Linked DNA regions of Rattus norvegicus. The protein of the gene in region 1 interacts with the protein of each later gene in a pairwise test. Links are inferred from orthologs where the notes say so. Each region holds a gene or a part of one and is shown in the gene's direction. Other genes may lie near its edges.

Region 1 (3,600 bases):
CTGGAATTACAGGTTTGTATCACTGTGCCTGCTTTATGCAGTGCTGGGGATCAACTCCGGGCTCTGTGCATGTTAGGCAAGCTCTATATCAACTGAGCTGTACCTTTAGCCACCTAATTTTCTTAATTTGTGTCTATTTATTTTGGTTAATTTGGTTATCAAAGGACTCTTCGTTTCATTAATCTTTTATATTTTTGTTTTAATCTATTTTATTAACACCTAACATTTATTTTGTCTTTCCTTTTTTTAAAAAAAATGTCTAAACATGTATTTACTTATTGTTTGTGTGAATGGGCTTAGTGTGTGTTTTAAGTTAGACAACAACTTGCAGTTTAATTCTCTCCTTCCACAATATGGATCTCAGAGAGCAAACTTAGCATCAAGCTTGGTAGCAGTCGCAGTTGCCTGCTAAGCCATCTCACCAGTCCTCCTATGTTTTTTGAGACAGTCTCAGGTGCCCAGGCTTAGAAATTGCATTCACTGCTTAACCATCTCATCAGTCTGTTATGGCTTTCCAGCTACTGAGTTTGGTTTGGCTTATTCTTGTTTTACCAAGACCCTGGCATATATCATTAGGTTATTTTTCTTTCTGTTCCTACTTTGAATTGGTTGCTAAATACCCACAGTTTGTAGGCCTTCTCAAGACTTGGTCTTTCTCCCGCTAAGCAGCAGCTTTTTTAGCCTTAAAAAAATCTTTATATTATTTGTTTACTTTTAATGTTATTAGAATTTTTAAAATGCAGCTGGAGAGGAAGTATAATTATTTTATAAAGGATTTTCTGGGTGCTGTTGTTTGAGACCAGAACTGAACTCTGCAGCCCAGGTGTGCTCAACTTGTGATGTCCCTGCTGAGACTTTAGGTGTGTGCTGCGAACACTCAGGTCCGTTCATTCTCCTGTGACACTTTGTATATTCCTCCCAATATTCTAGTCTTACCAAAAATGTAGCAAATGGCATTACGAAAGAAAATTTTATTTAGTAAATAAATTGCATCTTTTGTAGAAGTATAGATGTTTAGATATTTACTAAAATGATATGTTGAATATGTAATGATGTTATAATACTCTGCATCCTCTCCTCTTTTTTTTTTTTTTGAAGGTTTTCTTACTGTTCACTTTGCATATACTTCTGGACTAATACACCATGGTTTTGGATGACCTTCCAAACTTTGAAGACATCTATACTTCCTTGTGTTCATCAACAATGGGAGACTCAGAGGTGGAGTTTGACTCTGGACTAGAAGATGATGACACAAAAAGTGATAGTATTTTGGAGGATTCTACAATTTTTGTAGCCTTCAAAGGAAATATAGATGATAAAGACTTCAAATGGAAACTGGATACAATCTTACAGAGTGTGCCCGGCTTGTTACACATGGGTAATTGCGTTAGCTTTTGCCTCCTTCTTGTTGCTGTGTGCTTTGACAGTTTCCTGCCTACAGCCATGATGCTGGGATTACAGGGTTAGGCCACCATGCCTGGTTTGAAAAGTTTCTAGTAAAGTGTAACTGTATTGTAATTAAACAGTTTTTAACTATATTAACATTTAAACTAGTATGAAGACACCTGATGTGTGCAGAGCACAGATAGCTTTCAGTAATGATCAGATTGGAAGAAACTTTGGTGTCTCTGCCCTGTGGAACCAAGAGCCAAAGTTTTTCGGCGTGTCCAAATGTCATGGAACAGCAGTAGGCCTAACTCTTGGAGCTTGTTTTTACCTTCTCTGATTTCGCTAGGTACCTATAGCTTCCCACACAGCTCATTTAGCCTTTCTCTGGGCCACAGTTTCCTTCTTTAAGAGCACTTTAACTAAACATAGCCTAAGCACTTTTAGAGTTTGTGAGTATATTAATCCCACTGCCTTAGCAAGTGCTCTGTTTTGTTGTTTTACATTAGAACAAGTAAATTCTTTGTTCATATTTAGTATCTAATCGTGTAAGAGCTGGAATGGGCTTAAGTGGCATATAGAAACACTGTCTATAGATAACTGGATTTTGAGAAAGCATTTTCCATAAAGCCAATTTATTAATATTGAAAGATGTAATTTGAGCAGTGGCATGCGCCTTTAATCCCAGTATTTGGGAAACACAGGCCAGCCTTTGTCTGGAGTTGCCGGATATCTTTTATTTCCTTTCTTGTCTGTAAAATGTATTTATAAACAGTACTACCTCAGTTTACTTTGTAAATCTTTAATTGTAAAATACATATAATAGTTTGCCATATTCACAATTTTTATATATGGCTCAATGACACTGAAATACAATTAAAATATGCAACAATTACTAGTAGCATTTTTATAACTCTTATAAACTTCCCATTCCCTACCTACTCAAGCCCTTAATAAGCACCATTGTACTTTTTATGATTGTTTTTTAATTTAAAGTATTAGATTTATTTATGTATATGGTATTTTGCCTACATGCATGTAAATGCACTACATGCATGCAGTGCCCATAGAGGCCAGAAGAGGGCATCGTATCTGCTGGAACTAGAGCTACAGCCATTTGTGAATTGCCATGTGTATGCTTAGAATTGAACCTCAGACCTCTGGAAGAGCAGCCATTTCTCTAACTCTCCAGCCCCCTTTCTTTATTTTGAGTACTATTATTTACCTCATATAAGCAGAATTGTGTATCTTTATGACTGCTTTATTTCATTTAACATAATGTTCTCAGTGTTTGCCCATGCTGTAGCACATGATAGGGTTTCCTTCCTGTTTCAGGCCAAATATCCCACAGAATGTATGTATGTATATTCTGCATTTCACTTACTGTTATCTGTTGCTGGGCAGTTGGATTACGTCTGTGCTTTAGCTACTATGACTAATGCTACTGTAAATGTGGATATACTCTTCCAGATCCTGCTTTCAATTCTTTGGTCTGTATACTTAGAAATAAAAGTGCTATACTATATTGCTGGGGCCAGCCCTGACATTCAGGTTCTGAACAGCATCGGCCAAAAGCCAAAGGCTGATGACCTCTGGCCTTCTAACTCTCTCTTACTGTTTTGGGAGCCAAAAGCTGATTACTTTGGGCAATTTCATAGGGAAGGAAGAAGAAAGAAAGAAAGTCAGGCATGCACACGTATACACGCACACAGTTTGGCTGGGCCTAAACATCTGTCTCATCAATTTCACAAGTGCACGTGCATACTTACATGCATACACATATACTACATACGTATGTACAAGTATACATACATATATACATGTATATACATTTGGTGAATGGGGCAAAACCGCAAAAAGCCATACTTTATTTTTTCTTTCCACCTTTTTATGCCTTCTTAGACGAAAGTTCTTTATAAAATTACCTCACAGAAAAAATGTTACACAAAAGGGAGTTACAGAAGGATGTCTATAGTAAGTTCAGAGCAGTGTTTCATTCTGTAAGCTCATTATAAGTTCAAAGCAACAGTTTCCCATGGCCTCGCTTTACCATAGAGCACACTGTCTTCATCCTTGGACCTGACCTACAATGAATGGTTTTCCTTGATCACAAATCTGTCCTAAGCCGATTTCTCTTCTCAGTGTAATTTATGAAAGCTTATGGTATTCCTTATTCTGCAGCCTTTACTTACAATTCTATGAAGGGGGGCACAT
Region 2 (7,325 bases), on another chromosome or scaffold:
GGAGCTGGCGGAACCAGATCTTAGATAATGATAGACCAGCTCACAGCCTGGCCTGGCCTGTGCCAACACCCTATGCAAACTTTCCTGTCTCCCTTATCCTGGAGCCACTGTAGGTATGGGGAAGTCAGATTCTCCAGCCTCTATACCTGCTGGTTTCTCAACAGGAGCTGAAGTAGTCTTCAGCCTGCATGCAATTGCTCGCCCACAGTGGTAAGGACAAAAATGGCTCCAGAAGAGGACGGAATACACTCTCGTGTGTGGCTGTCTTTATGGAATACACACTCCTGTGTGGCTGTCTTTATGGAATACACACTCACATGTAGCTATCTTTGGCTACTTTGTGGGTTCTTCTTTCTTCTACCCTTCAACCCCCTAACACTAGATATGAGTGGGGAAAAAAGGATAGATAGGAAAGGAAAGAGATCCCTGAATTAAGTCAGGAGTCAGAAAGGGGTCAAACTTATTGCTAGTCGACTTCCTGCTGATTGGGGCGTTGAGTTCCTTGGGGCAAGTTTGACCTTCGCACTCAGGATATCTAATGTCTTTGTTGCGCAGGACTACTTAACAAATGCCACTAACAGGAACCAACCAACAATCCACCTCTGGGGGCCCTAGCATCGATATACAGAAAAGTTCCCAGATCTAAACATCATACAATCTGCAGAGACTATCTGCAGCTGGCAAAACCATGCCTCTGCTAGGGCACGAGGCAAATCAGTCACCTGTTTCAAAGCAGCCCCATATCCCCACACCTGGGATTAAAACAAAAAAAATATTTTTGTGTAATATCTCTGTGTTTTTAAAAAACCAAAATTCCAGAATTCTCACTACACTCATGCACACATACGGGGATAAAAGTGGTTGAGTCATTTGCTTTGGGGAGGTGATATCCTTTCCCTGTTTCAGAGGGCCCAGGGAACCAGTCCAACCTCAGGCAAGGGGTCCTAGAGGACACTAAGTCATATGTCCTGCTTCCAGGGCCAGCATCTCAGTGAATTCAAACAGCACGTGACAGTTTACTAGTGACACGTATGTAAACATAAACACACATATAAGTATATATATGCTTACTTATTGAATGAAGAACAATGAGGACTTGACAGCTCCCAGGTATGGTTGAGAAGGTTTATTGTAGGTATAAGGAGGAGAACATCCAGAGGCATCTGCAAGAGTCCAGACTGACCTGGGCCTACAGAATAAGTTGGGCCATGGGGTCAGGGGTGAGAGAGGAAGAAAGGGGGAACCAGGACACAAAGAGAACCAAGAGAGCTAAGGAACATGTAGCCAAAACAGCTGGATTATATAGGAAAGAGAATCTTGGAGGAAGAGAAGTGATGCTCAGGGACGGGAAAGGTTGAGGGTAGGGTAACTATATAGTAACAGGCATTGGTGATACTAAGAGAGACTGGTGCCCAGAGTTCACTTTGATATATTAATATGCACCTCAGCCATATTCCCAGGGTTCCTTTGAGACCTAACACTTATCTGAACAAAAGCATGGGTTGGTGGCTGGGTCTCAGGAGTAGATAGATTTTGTGTGTGACTGAGGTAGTGTGGGCTCTAGCCTCAACTTTGTAAGAATTCGTTAGATTAACTAACCATGGCATGGCATTTTTAATCCCAGGACTCAAGAGGCAGAGGCAGGAGGATCTCTGAGTTGGAGGCCAACCTGGTCTACAAAGAGAGTTCTAGGATAGCTAGAATGGTGAGACCATGTCTTTGAAAAAGGTGGGGGGCGGTGTAAACCAGGTAGTGGCAGTAAGTGCTTTTAATCCTAGCACATGGGAGGCAGAGGCCTTGGCCAACTCTCTTATGAGTTGGAGGCCAGTCTGGTCTACAGAAGTAGTTCTAGGACAGCCAAGGCTACACAAAGAAACTCTGTTTCAAAAAAATATACAAGCAAAACAAAACAAAACAAAACAACAACAACAAAACCAAGACCAACAGCAACAAAAGTTAAGTAAAAGCAAGCATTTGCGCTTAATAAAGATTCTCTCAACTGTTGACAAGTCGGAGTTGGGGAGAAACAAATCTCTGAATCTTTTCCATCTGAGGTCCACACAAGTATTTCTATCTTTTGTGAAAAAGCTGGTATTATCACTTTTATGGGAGAGGGGCATAGGCTACTTGTTTATTTATATTGAGCTGATGACCTGTCTTACTACCTAGCTCAGCTTGGCCTCCAACTAAACGCAATCCTCTGGCTTTGGTCTGTTTGATTATTGCAGGCATGCAATTGCACCCAATTTGCCTTTTTATATTTACTTCTTCCTATCACGAAGCTGAATGAAAAAATAACTTCTTATATATAAAAGTTCCAGACGCAGGCACATCAAGAGAGTCCAGAGTTGGGTTGAATAAGAGCACTGACTGCTCTTCCAGAGGTCCTGAGTTCAATTCCCAGCAACTATAGCATGGCTCACAACCATCTGTAACGGAATCCGACACCCTTTTTTGATGTGTCTGAAGACAGGGAGTACTTACATAAAATGTTAGAGAGAAAGAGAGAGAGAGAGAGAGAGAGAGCGAGCGCGAGAGCGAGCGCCAGAGCCTGGACATGTAAGGAGAAGGGGAGAGAGGTGAGCCAGGGGAATAAATAAGGGTAGGCGAAAAAAGAACCCAGTATTCAAAACGACTGGATTATAGAGGGAAGGGCGGGCAGCTGGGGTAGGGCAGCACAACCTCTGAGCTGGAGAAGTTCAAGGTATGAAGAGCCCTCGTGCCTCCATTTTAAGCTTAAAATCATCCTGCAACCATCATGACATCTCCAGATTTAACCTATTTAGAACCAATATACTGGGCTGTAAGTGGATGTGCTTCTGCAACAATGGGGAGGTGGAAGCAGTTGGCTCAGAAGTTCAAGGCCACCCCTTTGAATATGAGATCCTGTCTCAAAATCAAAACCAAAATAAAAACCAACCATGCAGCACTTCTACAAACGTAGAGAACTTTAGACTAATCAAAAAGGGAAACAACTTGCTTTGTTAGTCATGTGTTTAAAGAAACAAAAGAACTTTCCGGAACTTTTTTCTGAGTCCCAGAGGGGAACTACCAGAAGAAATAAACTTCCGGTGTCCCACTTCCGGCCAAGGCATCTCATTCGGTGGCGCCTAGGCAGACCGGAAGTCTGTCACCTTTCCCGGCCCTCCTACTTCCGGAAGTGACGCGCAGCGGGGTTGCCGGAAGAAGTGGCGAAGTTACTTTTGCTTTTCGCTCAGCAAGCGCTGTTGCTCCGAGCTACTCCCAGGCTTCTGAAGTTACTTCTGAAGTGCTGTGGAGGAGCAATCACCGGTGCGGACACAGAGGCAAGTGCACCAGGCGGCAGGGCGGGTGGGGTTGGGACCGGTACGCGGATCTTTGCGGGTCCAGCTTAACGCGCGCCTCCTTCCCTTACTTTGTCGCAGCTCCCGCCTCCCACAGCCATTTCCAGGGTAACGAAGTAGGAGACCCCCTCCTGCGACCCCCTCACGATCGCCGGTGCAGTCATGAGCCCCGCCTCCCCCTGGTGCACGGAGAGGGGCGGGGCCTGGAACGAGGTGGGCGTGACTCCACGGGGCGTGGCGTAGGGGAAGCCTATGTTGGTGGGCGAGGGCGGGACGCACATGGGCGGGAGGCATGCTGTAGATAAAACCCGTGATTGAAGGCTTTCTTGATTCTTGGGGCGGGGCCTGGATTGTTGTTGAGGGGACTGGGGGAGTGGGCAGAGGCGTGGAGGGCGTGGCACAACGAAGACCTATGATTGGCTTTTGGGGAGTTGGAGGGGCGGGGCTAAATCTGGGTATCTGCCCCAGTGTGAGAAGGGGCGGGACCAGGGACCTGATAGGATGGGTAGGGTCTGGGGTCTGTATTGAGGTGGGTTAAAGCCTTGAAGAAGCCTGTGGTAGGAGGGTAATGGTTGCGACCTGATGGGAGAGGCGGGACAAAGTTAGGATCACCTATATGGTAAGAGCACAGTTGGTGCTCACCAAAGAAGAGGAATTAGAGTTGTTGGGCTCTCTTAGTGTTAGAGGGGCGGGAGTTGTCATGGGAGGTCATGAATCATAGAGAGGTGGAGGGAGCAGTGAGTGGGTTGGAGCAGAAGTGGTTGGGGATGTTCAGGGTGATGTTTATAAGGGACTAGGGCTGGCAGTGGGGGCTCAGTATAGAAGTAAAAACACTGAGGTATAGTGGCACAGTGCTGTGATGCCAGCACTTGAGAGACTGAGGCAGGAGTGTGGGGAATATCCCAAGACAGCGTAGGGTAGTGTGTTCCAGGGTTTTGGAGGTGGTTCAAGATGTTCAGCCACATAGTTCGTTTAGCCTGAGCTGCATGGGATCATGTTTCGAGAGCCCTTGAGCATTGGAAGGAGAGACACTCTGTAATTGGCTGGGTCCCCTATGTCCAGCAGGCTGCTTCGTGACCCACTATGTCTTCCCCCACAAGTTCTCTGGACACTCCCTTGCCTGGTGAGTGATGGGTTTTCCCTACCTGGCCCCTCCCACAGTGTAAGAGAAGCTCACTGTTCCCTCTTCCTTCTCCTAGGGAATGGTTCTCCCCAGCCCAGTACCTCCTCCACTTCACCCACTATTAAGGAGGAGGGACAGGAGACTGATCCACCTCCAGGCTCTGAAGGGTCCAGCTCTGCCTACATCGTGGGTGAGACAGGGAGACAGGAACAGGGGTGTGGGACGTTGTGAGGGAAGGGTGGGGAGACGGTGGCCCCTGTCTTTCGGTTCGCTTTTCCTTCCTCTTCCCCCTGACACCTCCGACTCATTCTTGGGAGCCTGCCGACCTGCAGATCTTTCCCTTGGCGTTGCAGCCCTGTCCTCTCACCCTCGCTTCGGGACTTCCCATGGCCTGTTCCCAGGCTGCTGTTTCTCTTTGTCGCTATCTCTCATGGCATCTGCTCACCCCAAGTCATCTTAGAGCCAGAGGATGAACCTGAGCGCAAGCGGAAGAAGGGTCCGGCCCCGAAGATGCTGGGCCATGAGCTGTGCCGCGTGTGCGGGGACAAGGCCTCGGGCTTCCACTACAATGTGCTCAGTTGTGAAGGCTGCAAAGGCTTCTTCCGGCGTAGCGTGGTCCATGGTGGGGCCGGGCGCTATGCCTGTCGGGGCAGCGGAACCTGCCAGATGGATGCCTTCATGCGGCGCAAGTGCCAGCTCTGCAGACTGCGCAAGTGCAAGGAGGCTGGCATGCGGGAGCAGTGTGAGTGCAGGGGCGGGGCTAGACAGAGCGTGGGTCCTCGTCACGGGGAGGAGTAAGTGAGGGTGGGTCCCACCACTGAGGCTGTCTTTCCTGCAGGCGTGCTTTCTGAGGAGCAGATTCGGAAGAAAAAGATTCAGAAGCAGCAACAGCAGCAGCCACCGCCCCCGACTGAGCCAGCATCCGGTAGCTCAGCCCGGCCTGCAGCCTCCCCTGGCACTTCGGAAGCAAGTAGCCAGGGCTCCGGGGAAGGAGAGGGCATCCAGCTGACAGCGGCTCAGGAGCTGATGATCCAACAGTTAGTTGCCGCGCAGCTGCAGTGCAACAAGCGATCTTTCTCCGACCAGCCTAAAGTCACGGTATCGCCCCGCCCGGCCCAGTGGGCAGAGCCCACCCAGGCTAGGGAGGGTTTCTTGGGGCACACGAGTTCCCACGTGACCCTGGCCTTTTGTGTCCCAGCCCTGGCCCTTGGGTGCAGACCCTCAGTCCCGAGACGCTCGTCAGCAACGCTTTGCCCACTTCACTGAGCTAGCCATCATCTCAGTCCAGGAGATCGTGGACTTCGCCAAGCAGGTGCCAGGGTTCCTGCAGCTGGGCCGGGAGGACCAGATCGCCCTCCTGAAGGCATCCACCATCGAGGTACTAATAACGAGAACTAGGCTCTAGGACAGAGGTCAGAGCTGCATGTAGTCCAGGGACATCCTAACCCTCGTGGGGTGTGGCCATCTGGAGCCTCCAGTGAGCCAGCCACGGGGGGAAAGGGAAGTGAGCTGAGGTGGGAGTAATGGAGACTATGGGATGGACTGTCAAAGAGGAAATACGCCCCAGAGACTTGAAGGGAATGGATATTTGAGCCAACTCAAGGATAACTTAAGTTTGAGAGTCAACTGTGCATAAAGTTCTAAGTGCTAAAAGAATCAAAACTCTTGTACCTCACAATAATGTGTGGTTAATGTCCTTGGGTGGGGGCAGTGGGTGGTAAAGTTGGAGAAAGGAAAGCTAAGAATGTCTGGGTGGCAGCCAGTTGGTCTTGGCACATTTGACCTGGGGCAGCTGAAGAGCCCTGTACCTTGTCACCTCCAGATCATGTTGCTAGAGACAGCCAGACGCTACAACCACGAGACAGAGTGCATCACGTTCCTGAAGGACTTCACCTACAGCAAGGACGACTTCCACCGTGCAGGTCTGTGGAAGGCACTGGCTCAGTGTTAGGGTTTCTGCCCCCTGTCGGACCTCCAGATCAGGCACTGGCAAGAGAAAGATCATGTTTAGCAGGACCAGATGCATGGGGAGGCTTTGCTGTCCCCTGGCCTTCTGGCAGGAGATCAGGAAGAAGCACAGGCTGCTGATTGTCTCATGGGGAGCTCATCTGGCCACCTGTCTGATGGTGGGACAGGGCCCCTGCCCATGGCCAGCCAATGCGAACAACTTTTCTCCCTCAGCTTTCGGCTTCCCAGGACACCTTGGGTGCCTCTCAGTATTTTTAGGCACCCACTTCCACTCTTCTACTACACAAGAAGAGTCCTAGGATTCTTTCAGTGTGGCTTACTAGCAGGGCAGATTTAGGGAAAAAAGTGTGTTTTCCCTGTGATCCAGCCTGGGCAAAGGCCCTGCAGCCAGGCTTGAAGGAACCCCACGGAGCCCCAGGCATTCAGGCCTTGGAAGGTGGGACTGGAAAGGATCTTCGGCTTCCTACCCAAGCTCCTTCACTGCCTGGCCCCGGGCCCTCTGCTACTACCCTCCCATCACATCTGTCCCCCACAGCACGCAAGTGCCATGCCAGCTTGTCAGCTCCCGTATTCCGTCTGCTGGGACAGGACCTGGCCTCCATTCTCCTCTGTCTTTGTCGATCGTCTCTCCCAGGCACTGGGTGCCTTGCTGAGTCTGTGCCCATCAGCACAGTCCAGCATCAGGGACCAGCATTCACTGTCCCTTGCTTAGAACTGGGTGACAACTCCTATCTTGCCTGGAACCTGCCTACATGGTTTTGTTTTGCTTTCTTGGGGTCTCACTGCAGGCCAGAGTAGCCTAGAATATATTGTCCTTTATAGAGAAGGGGTTGGGTGTGATGGCAGTAAATACTCTTCTCCAAGGCCTGGCACACAGTAGGTACACTTAACAGTCCATGAGTGAATCATAG

The links.
Region 2: the proteins of Ncoa6 (region 1) and Nr1h2 interact in a two-hybrid assay, tested with the Homo sapiens proteins (2 studies listed by BioGRID). The link is inferred for Rattus norvegicus from reciprocal best matches to the Homo sapiens genes NCOA6 and NR1H2.

What each region holds. Positions count from the first base shown.
Region 1 is NC_086021.1:164,389,319-164,392,918, reverse strand, and holds the start of Ncoa6 (nuclear receptor coactivator 6), read left to right. Parts: upstream 1-1,143; coding exon 1,144-1,378; intron 1,379-3,600. UniProt on the Homo sapiens protein: Nuclear receptor coactivator that directly binds nuclear receptors and stimulates the transcriptional activities in a hormone-dependent fashion. Coactivates expression in an agonist- and AF2-dependent manner.
Region 2 is NC_086019.1:104,179,704-104,187,028, reverse strand, and holds the start of Nr1h2 (oxysterols receptor LXR-beta), read left to right. Parts: upstream 1-3,165; 5' UTR 3,166-3,305; intron 3,306-3,404; 5' UTR 3,405-3,536; intron 3,537-4,385; exon of another isoform or gene 4,386-4,388; 5' UTR 4,389-4,406; coding exon 4,407-4,446; intron 4,447-4,522; coding exon 4,523-4,636; intron 4,637-4,799; exon of another isoform or gene 4,800-4,897; coding exon 4,898-5,188; intron 5,189-5,284; coding exon 5,285-5,544; intron 5,545-5,644; coding exon 5,645-5,824; intron 5,825-6,268; coding exon 6,269-6,368; intron 6,369-7,325. UniProt on the Homo sapiens protein: Nuclear receptor that exhibits a ligand-dependent transcriptional activation activity. Binds preferentially to double-stranded oligonucleotide direct repeats having the consensus half-site sequence 5'-AGGTCA-3' and 4-nt spacing (DR-4).